Caenorhabditis elegans: one gene and its partner. The protein of the gene in region 1 interacts with the protein of each later gene in a biochemical or structural test. Each region holds a gene or a part of one and is shown in the gene's direction. Other genes may lie near its edges. The genes, in order: hpl-2 and egl-4.

The links.
Region 2: of the proteins of hpl-2 (region 1) and egl-4, one has a biochemical effect on the other in vitro, tested with the Caenorhabditis elegans proteins (one study listed by BioGRID).

The regions. Positions count from the first base shown.
Region 1 is NC_003281.10:10,751,627-10,757,640, reverse strand, and holds hpl-2 (Chromobox protein homolog hpl-2), read left to right. Parts: upstream 1-2,119; 5' UTR 2,120-2,130; coding exon 2,131-2,172; intron 2,173-2,446; coding exon 2,447-2,620; intron 2,621-2,887; coding exon 2,888-3,126; intron 3,127-3,825; coding exon of another isoform or gene 3,826-3,898; exon of another isoform or gene 3,899-4,050; intron 4,051-4,084; coding exon 4,085-4,238; intron 4,239-4,609; coding exon 4,610-4,681; intron 4,682-5,086; coding exon 5,087-5,317; 3' UTR 5,318-5,387; downstream 5,388-6,014. Other genes in the region: rnf-113 (putative E3 ubiquitin-protein ligase rnf113), read left to right, coding at 4-141, 205-937, 1,660-1,943; enu-3.6 (ENhancer of Uncoordination), read right to left, coding at 5,937-6,014. UniProt on the Caenorhabditis elegans protein: Seems to be involved in transcriptional silencing in heterochromatin-like complexes. Probably does not act as global transcriptional repressor, instead targeting a subset of genes. Involved in RNA processing mediated by Tar DNA-binding protein homolog tdp-1.
Region 2 is NC_003282.8:1,846,199-1,851,104, forward strand, and holds the start of egl-4 (cGMP-dependent protein kinase), read left to right. Parts: upstream 1-1,872; coding exon 1,873-2,028; intron 2,029-3,466; coding exon of another isoform or gene 3,467-3,493; intron 3,494-4,906. Other genes in the region: ccm-2 (CCM (Cerebral Cavernous Malformation) gene homolog), read left to right, coding at 510-651, 722-780. UniProt on the Caenorhabditis elegans protein: Promotes chemoreceptor gene expression in response to increased cGMP levels by antagonizing the gene repression functions of the class II HDAC hda-4 and the mef-2 transcription factor.

The DNA.
Region 1 (6,014 bases):
ATAATGGATCTCTTCCGAAAACCGAAAAAGCGCAATGCACCCGTCGTTCGTAAAAAGGAAAGCTCAAGTGATGAGGATCAAGATTCAGAAGTGAAGGATGTGATTCAAAAGCGACGTCGTACGAATCCGATGGTCCAGTCGGTGAGATCTTGGTACTTTAGTGCTCCAAAATTTTGGAAAATCCCAATAAACTTTGAAATTCAGACCAAACAACTAGACGCCTCAACACGACGTGCTGATAATTCATCGGATGATTCTGACGACTCTGACGACAATCAGGATATCGCAGTAGCAACTCACTCGTTCGCCGCTTCAGGAGATGCCGGTCCATCTGGACCACGTGATCAAGGTGCCACTGCAACACTCGAAGTGGACACAGACTATTCACACGATGCCCAGGCTCAATTCGAACGAGTCCAACAGCAACTGAAGGAAGGCGTCGAGAAAGACGGAAAAATTCTGTACAAGGGAAGTGCACTGTATGGAGCCAAAGAGGCGAAGGATACGGCCAAGGGAAACGCTGCAAGTGGTTATAATCGAGTTGGGCCCGTTCGGGCGCCACAATTTCTACGACAAACAGTCCGTTGGGATTTTGCACCGGATATTTGCAAGGATTACAAGGAGACTGGATTCTGTACGTTTGGAGATTCGTGTAAATTTGTGCACGACCGATCGGACTATAAACACGGATGGGAGATTGATGAGGAGTACGAAGCAGGAAAATATGGTGCTGAAGACGATGCGAATTACGAGATTCATGAAGGCGACGATACGTTTCCGGAGGATTGTTTTATTTGCGGAAATCCATTTGTTGATCCGATCGTGACAAAATGCAAGCACTACTTTTGCACCGGTTGTGCGTTGAAATCGTTCCAAAAGTCGTCAAAATGCCCAATATGTCAGCAGAATACTGAGAATATTATGAATACCGCAAAAGGTTTGAAATAGAACGATTAATTCGTGATTTTCGCAAGTTTTGGAAGGTTTTTCGGCGCAGTTTGATACTTACATGTTACGGAGGATACTGCACGTGGACAAGCGTGAATCTTTTTTCACATTTTTTGGACAATAATAAGACATTATAACTAGAAAGAGAGGAGGAGCCTAATTTCGCAACTCTGCGGCACGATTTTTCGACAATTTTCCACTGTTTTTTTTTTTGGTTTTTTTTCTGGTTTTTTTTTCCAAAAAACTTCGATTCTTCCTGTTTTATTTTTTTTTACGAGAAAAAAATCAAATTTAATTCGCATAACATTTCGATTATAGTTCATATTTTTACAACCAATTTAGCTTGAAATATCCTCCCAATCTAATGTGAATTAAAAGGAATAAAATCGAAACTTTTATGGAAAAACCCCAAAAAAGAAAAAGGAAAACCGTGCCGCATGGTTGCAAAATTGGTTGCAAAATTACGTTCCGCCTCTTTTTCTGCTTTTTGGAAAACTCATTTCTTTGGTAATTTGGAATGTTGGAAGAGAATCAGCGAAAATAGTTCAAAAAAGTAAATTTCAGCCAATAACTCACAGTTGTCCGGGTGAAGTACAAAATCCTTCGTAAATTTACATGCAACAAACCGCGCTTTTAATCCAAAACTTGCGAAATTCACAAGATAGTAGCTCGAAAAATGTGGCAAAAAAAAATTAATTTTTAAATTTTCAGAGCTCCTAACCTACCTGAAACGGAAGAAGCAACAACAGAAGCAAGAAGCCGAGAAACAGGAAGAAGAAAAAGATAGTGACGATGATGAAAAACCACACGAATGCGACGATCACCATCATCATGATCACGAAGATGAGCCCGAGGAGCCTGAAAACGACTCAAATGTTCCAGAAGCCGAGGAGAAGAGCGATGAGGAACAGGAGATTATGATGGAGGATGTGGAAGGGCTTGAAGGTGGAGAAAATGACTCTGAGAGTGATGATGATGATGCTGAAAAAGATTGATAATTTTTATTTTTTTTTTAAATATTTCTGTACGGTGATTGTCTGTGAGTAAACTAAATATGATTTTTTTTCTTGTTCGAGCCTTTTTTTAATTTCAAGATATTGTTCGAATCTTTATTCCATATTTTTTCTATGTTTTTTCAGATTTCTCCCATTTTAGCTCAAATTTATTTCAGCAATTTCAAAAATGTCGAGCAAATCAACAAAGCGAGCAAAAATCGAAGATCCGGTATGGAACGGCGAAAAAACCAAAAAATCTATTTTTACAACAAAAAAAACTAAAAAATACAATTTTGCAACGAAAAAAAACCAAAAAACAGTCCATTTTGCAAAAAAACAATAAATCAATTTTTGCACTAAAAAAAATATTTTAAAAAAACAATTTTGCAACAAAAAATCTATTTTTGCATAAAAAATCCAATTTTGCTAGAAACAAAGCGACAGTATAAGTTCCCCGACAAAGAAAAAAAAAGTCACATTTTATTCAAAAATCTGATTTCCAGAAGGACAACGTGTTCATGGTGGAAAAAGTGCTGGACAAGCGAACTGGAAAAGCCGGCAGAGACGAATTTCTCATACAGTGGCAAGGATTCCCCGAGTCTGACTCTAGCTGGGAGCCGAGAGAGAATCTCCAGTGCGTCGAGATGTTGGACGAGTTTGAGAGGGAATTTTCAAAGGTTTTGAAGAATTTTTTAAAGTTTATTTTACTTGAAATGGTCCTAAAAAGCGAATTTCATAGTGAAAATTGTTTGAAAAATCTTCGATTTTGCCCACTTTTCCGTGCTGCAACTGTTTAAATTAGATTTTTGTTCGATTATTCTCCTATTTTCACACGGAAAAGCTGGTAAACTTGAAGATTTTAACTAAAATTAGGTTTTTTAGAGTTAAAATTACAAAGTCATAAAATCCGATTTTTCTGCAACAAACTTATTTTATTTTTACAGAGAGAGAAACCAATTCGCAAACGACACAGCCAGAAGCCCGAACCTTCCGAAGATCAAGCGGATCCAGAAGAGGATAAAGATGAAAAGAAGGAAACGAATCAAAATGACAAATTCTCACTGGAAGGCAAGCAGTTAAAATGCATTGTCGGGCTCACCAAGGGACCTGGGGAACTTCATTTTCTGTGCAAATTCAGTGATGACACGGCACGGCTTCTTCCAGCGAAGGAGGTGAACAGTCGGTGAGTTTGGGAATTGCTCCCGGTTGATTAAAAGTGTATTACGGAAACACTCCACCCAAAAACTTTAAAAGTATCCGAAAAAAAATATTACGGGAACACAAAATTCTGAGAATGCGTATTGCGCAACATATTTGACGCGCAAAATATCTCGTAGCGAAAACTACAGTCATTCTTTAAATGACTACTGTAGTGTCGATTTACGGGCTCGAGTTTTGAAATGGATTTTTGTTCAAATAGTGGCATTTTTGCTTAATTTTAATATTCTATCGGTAAATCAAAAAAATATGATTTCGAAAATAGAGCCCGTAAATCGACACAGGCACTACAGAATTTACTGTATTTACTGTACTGTAGTTTTCGCTACGAGATATTTTGCGCGATACGCATTTTCAGAATCTTGTGGTCTCGTGATACGCGTCGATGGGGATTTCACTCTAAAATATGCCGGCTGTACTGCACATAAGTGCCGAAATACCGAAATACCACGAAAAATATGAAAAATTGGACTTTTTCACTAAGAAATTCGAGGAAAAACGGAACAATTGCGTTTAAATTGATAAAAACCATGGCGCGGTAATTCAAACATTCAAAATTTTTCTGACTATTCTGCGTATTTAAAACTGAAATCCCGATCGGCGCTAGAGTTTTTAGCTAGGAAGCGAACCTCAATTTGGCATTTAAAAAAGCTCTAAATTTCAGCTATCCGAGCCAAGTTATCAGATACTACGAATCCAAGCTAACAATCCAAGACCCAAAAGCCGACGAGCTTTAATCACTCCCCACCCCGATACACGTGTTCAATATCATGTTCTCTCATCTCATTCCCATATTCTTTTTGAATTATCTTGTAAAATCTATACCAATTTTTGTGCTAACCCCTGAAATCGAGACTAAATATTATTGAATCAATAAAAATTTCTTGAGACACATTACATTCGACATTCTATTTTCCATACAGATACCGCCCGTTCGTCGACGCTTACGGCGAATTTCTGAAGAAAAAGATGGAGAGACGACACAAACGGATTTCCGAGGGAAAGAAGAAGCGTTCGATTGAGGAAGATGATGCAGATGATGAGTGGCCTGAAATGCCACCGGGACATCGAATTCTTGTGAGAAAATTTGAAGTTTTAGAAGGAGAAAATTTTGAGAAAAATGAAAAAAAAAAGTTTTCTCTGAAATGTTTCCAAAAAACAGTCTCTACACAAGGTCCAAAATTTGAACACCTCTCGAAAAATGTTTTTTTTAATTAAAAAAAATTTTTTTTTGGGAAAACATTTTTTTTGAGAAATTTTTTTAAAACTATACTGTTTTTAAATCTTTGAGAAAAAACTAATTTTTTGCGAATTTTGAATTCTTTTAGGTATTCTTCTTAAGGAAAAAGTAGTTTAGAAACTTTTTTTGGAACAAAATTATGTATTTTTAATTTTAGAATAAAAAACAATTTTTGAAATTTTTTTCAAAATTTTTATTTTAATTCCAGACAACCGAAGAACACGAGCTGCAACGTAGGAAGGAATCGAAAATATCGCAGGACGTTGAGATGACTGAAGCGGTAGGGGTCTTACCACGAACGAAATATTTTTTGAGGCCGCGCCTTTAAGAACTACAGAACACTATGTATCGATTTTTCAAAGAAAAAGGAAAACATAGATTTGTAAAAGAGATTCCTGAAATTCGTTTAAAAATCGATCTCTAGTAAATAAAAAAATGTCAGAAATTGTAAATTTCGGGATTTTTTCGCCAAAAAAATAGCCTTCCTCATGTGGTGTCAGAAAGTCTCATTGCAGTTTGATCTACAAAAAATGCGGGAATTGTTTCCCAGAAAAAATGTGACGTCAGAACGCTCTTAACCATGCAAAATCAGATAAGATGTCTGCGTCTCTTCTCCCGCATTTTTCGTAGATCAAAGCGAAAAGGGACTGTATGACTCCACGTGCTTCCTTAAACCATTCTTCAGTTTCAGCAAACCGCGGCCGATATGCTCAATGATATGCACATGGCGGCCAATGGAGATCTGCTTTCCAGCTTCCCACAAGATTTCCTTGAAGACTCTGGCGATGGAGAAGTTCACGAGGCGGCCATCCTCTCCGTTTTCGATGACAATTCGAATAGCCCGCCACCGTGTCCGATCGTTGTCGACACTGTACCAGACGATGATGACAGTCTCTTGTTCCCAAGAAACTCATAAATTATTTGATCTCCGCTGTTTCTTTTTTTTTTCGAAAATCCGATTTATATAAAGTTTGAACATTATCTTTATATAATGGATAGTACAACAAAAATCTCTTTAGAAATATATATAAAAAATATGTTAGAAACACTGAGAAGCTCATGGTGCATCGACAAATTTTCTGCATTTGCAGAAAATCCCACAAAAATGAAGAACATCGAGAACAAAACTCATGGTGCATCGACTAACAAATTTTTCGGCCAAAAAAATCTGATAAAATATGATGGCAAACAGACTTCCTAGAAACACCTGAATTTCGCCCGTAAAAAATGAGTGCGCCTTTAAGAGCTACAGTAACCCACTAAATCATTAAACTGAAAGTTCCTTGATGTCGAAAGAGAAACAAAATTTGACAAAAAAAAATTTATTGTCAGAGAAAAGTAATAGAAGTGAAATTGTGTGGGGAAATAAATACGGACGGGGAGTTTGAAAAAAGAATGGGACTATACGAGGTCATAAATAATACAATTGTGGGGAACGATGAGCATAGAAAAGGGGAAATGGGGCTCCATAAAAAAAATGAAGGACCTAAAAACGGGGGAAAATCACGAGAGGCGGTCGGGGGCTCAGAAGAACTTCAATCGTGTGGCTTGTCCACAGTGACGAACGCTTCCAGCGCTGCTTGTTTCGATGTCGACTCCTTCTTCTTCTTCTT
Region 2 (4,906 bases), on another chromosome or scaffold:
AGTTATGTTAAGTCAGATTTTTTAAAGTCCAAACTAAGAAAATTCGAAAAATTCTGGGATTTCTTTTGCTGAAGATTCCGCAAAAAAAAACCGAACATTTTCATGTTTCCCTACAAGCTTGTGGTTTTATAGCATTTTTTACAAAAATTGTGTTCTAAAAATCTCCCTTTTTGGCTTTTTTTCGCTGAAAATTTGAAATATTCGACTTTTGCCGTCAAAAACCGGTAAAAATCAATTTTCACATAATTTTTCTGTTGCAAAATATTTAATTTTATTTTAATTTTATTTCTCAATTTTTCTCCTAAAATTCAGTTTTATTGTTGGAATTCATGGAGTTTTTGCCTGAAAATGAGAGTTTAAAAATATATTATTTTCACACATGTCGTAAGATTCTGCGCTCGATCCGCATTTTTCTCCATCCGTGTTTGCGTACTTTCGTCACACGCGAGTTTAATGAAATTTAAATCGAAATTTATCAATTTTCTCATCATTTTTTCCTTTTTTTTCAGGTTCTCTCTTGTCTCCGCCCCGAAGAAGTTCCACATTTTCGCGAAATTATCAAGAAATACAATAGCGGCGAGCAAAATGTGAAGATTTTCGCGCAAAAGCTCGTCGAACTGCTCGGCCCCGGACGAAAAAAGCGTCTTTCATGTGAGTTTCTACAACACTCCCCTCTTTTCTTTTCTTCGAATTCAATGCAATTTCCTGTGCCAATTTGCAGACCTGAAACATGCGTTGAGAGCCGGCGACATGCTCCAATTCGACTCGGCGATTCTTTGAAATACGCGGGTCGTCAAAATGCGGGTGAGTGTCTTCGTCGTGAAATTGCAATTTTTCTTTTTTTTTTAAAGAATTTTTATCGTAGAAAATTCTGTTTATTTATTATTTAATTTTGCAGGGAGATGCTGATGAAGATGTGGCGGAGACGGATGGATTTCGATTGGATTTTTTCTTTTTTTTACATTTTTTTTCAAATTTTCTCCTCTAAAAGTCGGTTTTTCTGTGAAAACTACCCGCAAAATCTGAGAATTTCGCGTTTTTTTTCTGAAAAATTGCGTGAAAAACCACAATCCACTTGGATTAAGCTGAAAAATCGGCAATTTTGTATATTTTGTCAGGATTTTGATTTAAAAATCGAATTTCTTGTGAAAAATTTGCTTTTTCGGTGAAAGTCGGTTTTTCTTGAAATTTTGCACGAGGTTTCTCCTGAAAATTGGCTTTTCTTAGATTTTTTTTCATAAAATTCCCGGAAAATTTGTGGTTTACTCAAAAAATGCCCCGTTTTTCCAATTTTTTCCTGTAAATTTGGTGGTTAAAAAATGACGAATTTTTTGCATTTTGTGGAAAATATTTGTTCGGAAAAATCACAAAAATTCTCGAATTTCGTGTAAAAATATAGAGAAAAACGACATTTTTTCCGCTGAAAATTGAGTTGTCTTAGATTTTTCTGATATAATTCCCTGAAAATTAGTGGTTTTCTCAAAAAAAAATGCACCGAATTTTTTAAAAAATTCCACGTAAACATGCGCAGAAAATTCCTTTTTTTTCTGAAAATTTGAGCAAAAATTGCCGAATTTTCTTCAAAAATGATGTTTTTTTCGCAAAAACTCAAATTTCGTGTGAACATTTTCGGAAATTTATCGAAAAAACTGCATTTTTTCGCTGAAAATTTGAATTTCCTCTCGATTTCTCTCTCACTTTTCCGCATTTTTTTCCGTTTTTTCCTCCCCGCTCCGCTCAAAAAAATCAATAAATAAATACTTTTACAGATCAAAAGGTGATACCTCCGACGCCCGCCATCCACCACATCCACTCACAATCCGAAAATTAATCGATAAAACAATAAAGCGACCAGCGGAAAATCAACTGGAAATGAGCTCTGGGAGCCGTCCGTCGAGCGGCGGTGGTGGTGGTGGCGGAGGAGCCAGTGGTGGAGCCGGTGGTGGTGCTCCAGGTGGTGGTGGAGGTGGAATCCGTGGATTCTTCTCCAAACTTCGTAAGCCGTCTGATCAGCCGAATGGGAATCAGGTTAGAGTTTTGTGGGAGGTTTTTTTGCAGGAAAAATCGCTGAAAAATGATTAAAATTTACCTTTGTGTAGATTTACGGGGATTTTGGGGGAAAATATGCGGGAAAATGGGCAAAAATGATATAATTTTGATAAATTTGGCCTAAAAATCCCGAGTTATTCGGTCATAATGTGCTCAGGACTTTGTAAAGACCTATGTGGATTTACGGGGGTTCAGTGTCGATTTACGAGACTGTAATGTCGATTTACGGGGGTTCAGTGTCGATTTACAAGACTGTAATGTGGATTTACGGGGGTTCAGTGTCGATTTACGAGACTGTAATGTCGATTTACGGGGGTTCAGTGTCGATTTACGAGACTGTAATGTCGATTTACGGGGGTTCAGTGTCGATTTACGAGACTGTAATGTCGATTTACGGGAGTTCAGTGTCGATTTACGAGGGCTGTAATGTCGATTTACGGGGGTTCGGTGTCGATTTACGAGACTGTAATGTCGATTTACGGGAGTTCAGTGTCGATTTACGAGGGCTGTAATGTCGATTTACGAGGCTTTAATGTCGATTTACAGGGGTTCAGTGTCGATTTACGGGATAACATTTTCCGAAATTTTACTGAAATTCGACTAGTTTTGGAATGAAATCCTTCAATTTTGCAAAATCTTTCCAGGATTATTTGGTGTTTTCCGCAGCTCCGTGTATATTTACGGGGGCCTGTGTCGATTTACGAGAGTTTTTTTTCAATTTGGCGAACTCAACATTTGATTTGAGTTTATACCATAAATGCAGTTTTCTAAATTGAAAATTTCAAAAATCTGTGTAGATTTACTGATGCCTATGTCGACTTACGGGCGAAACTTTTGGTGATTTTCACCAATTTCAGCCAGATTTTCAAAATTTTCAGGTTTTTTGTGCACAGAAATGGTATCAACTTTGACATTTTTTACACATTTCCGGTTGAAATCCTCGGATTTTTGCTAGATTTTGTCTGAACTTCTAGATTTTCGTGACCAGAGATCATTGTCACTTTGTGTGGATTTACGGAGGAGCCGATTGTCGATTTTCTGGATTTTCTGCGGTTTTTCCGGGGTTTTTGGTGCTCCAAATGGAAAATTCTTCCGAATTATTGCCTAGACTCTTCCGACTATTCTGCTGGTTGTTCCGAGTTTTTCAACACATATTTTTCCAATTTCCCGCTCCGGAGCTCTCCGCCAATTCTGCTGCTCGGCTCTCTCCACAGGACGCCTGCAATACGACACCAACTGTTGTTTGATGGCTCCATGGGGGTCGCGTAATGATCATGTTCATGTCGACTTGACGAAATTCCTCTTATCACAACAAATTGAGCCTGGTGATAGCAGACCTGGTGGTGAAGAGTTTTCCGTATTTCTAGTCCTATATTCCGTGCTGAAATGTGTGGAAGTGTCTGAGTATGAAAAGATGATGAAGCAGCAGCCACCCAGGATTTATGTGAGTTTTTGGCGGACCGAAAACTTGGAGAATTGGAATTTGATTGGCATTTTTTCGCCTTAAAATGCGACCTAGTGGGGGCTAAATCCCAGATTACGGTAGAAATTTCAGAAGTTCAGCTCTAAAATTAGAAAAATCATCGACATTTGAGCAAGACATCAGGATTACCGAAAATCTGAAATTTTTAGGCGAAAGCTTGGATTTCCGATGGCTTTTCAGTTTTTAAAATTGACAATTTCAATAGTCTAATAATGGATTTTTCCTCGAAATTTCGCCCAGAATCACGGAAGAAAATCGATTCTCATCTGAAAATTCGAATTTCGCCTTCACCGCATACGCGCCCCACTGAGAAAGTTAGGCATTTTTTCTCATTGGAGCGTGTTTGCTACTAAATCCACGTAGATTTTTCTATTTTCCGACAAAAAAATAACTGCAAATTGATCGATTGATCTGAAAATTGATATATTTTTTTATGAAAAAAAAAAAGTAATTCTCTTATCAATCCCTATCGGCCGAACTGACGTCATGTTGTTCCCCACAGCTCAAAGCTTTCGAAACAGTGAAAACTCGGCCATTACTAAAAATGCCAAAATTCGCAAAAATTCGAAATTTTGGCAGAAAAAGGCGGCGGCCACGAGCCGAAAAATCTCGGCCACTTCACGGAGTTTATAGAATAACCGAACAATTTCTTTTGCTTTTCGGTTTACACCTGCTTCCCGGTGAAAAGTCTAGAAAAATTTGAGCTTTCTGAATAGAAAATACATCTAAATTGCCATTTTTTTCCTGTTAAAGATCGCAGAAATTCAATTTTTCCGATATTTTGGCAGAAAAAGGATGAGATTTGACCCAATCTTCCTATAAATTGTTACTTTTTCCCATAGCTCAAAGATTTCCGAACAGTGAAAACTCGACCATCACGTGGTGCCAGGTGTGTCCCATGTCGGTTTGATCTACGTTGATCTACCAGAATGCGCGGGAAATTGGACGCAGACTTTTCAACTTATTTTGCATGGCTAAGAACATGCGGACGTCACATTTTTTAGGCCAAAAAATCCCGCATTTTTGTAGGTCAAACCGTTATGGGAAAGTCTGGACCATACCGATTTGTTCCTCGGTTTTTCACGTGCTCGTGGTGTCAAAAAATTCCAGCTTCCCAGACCACGTCTCACCTGGAAAATTGATCGATTTACGATTTTTCAGAGTCGAAATTCGCAAAAATTCAATTTTTCGAAATTTTGGCACACAAAATTTCTGAAAATTGAACAATTGATCAGAAAAAAATTCGATAGTTCTTCTTATCAATTTTCTCAATGGTATTTTCTTCCTGGTGAACTCTTCCTTATGCACAAGTGTACGTGCTCTTGTGCAATTGTGCATTGCACAAAAAACGGGTGAGCCCATGCCGATAGGGAC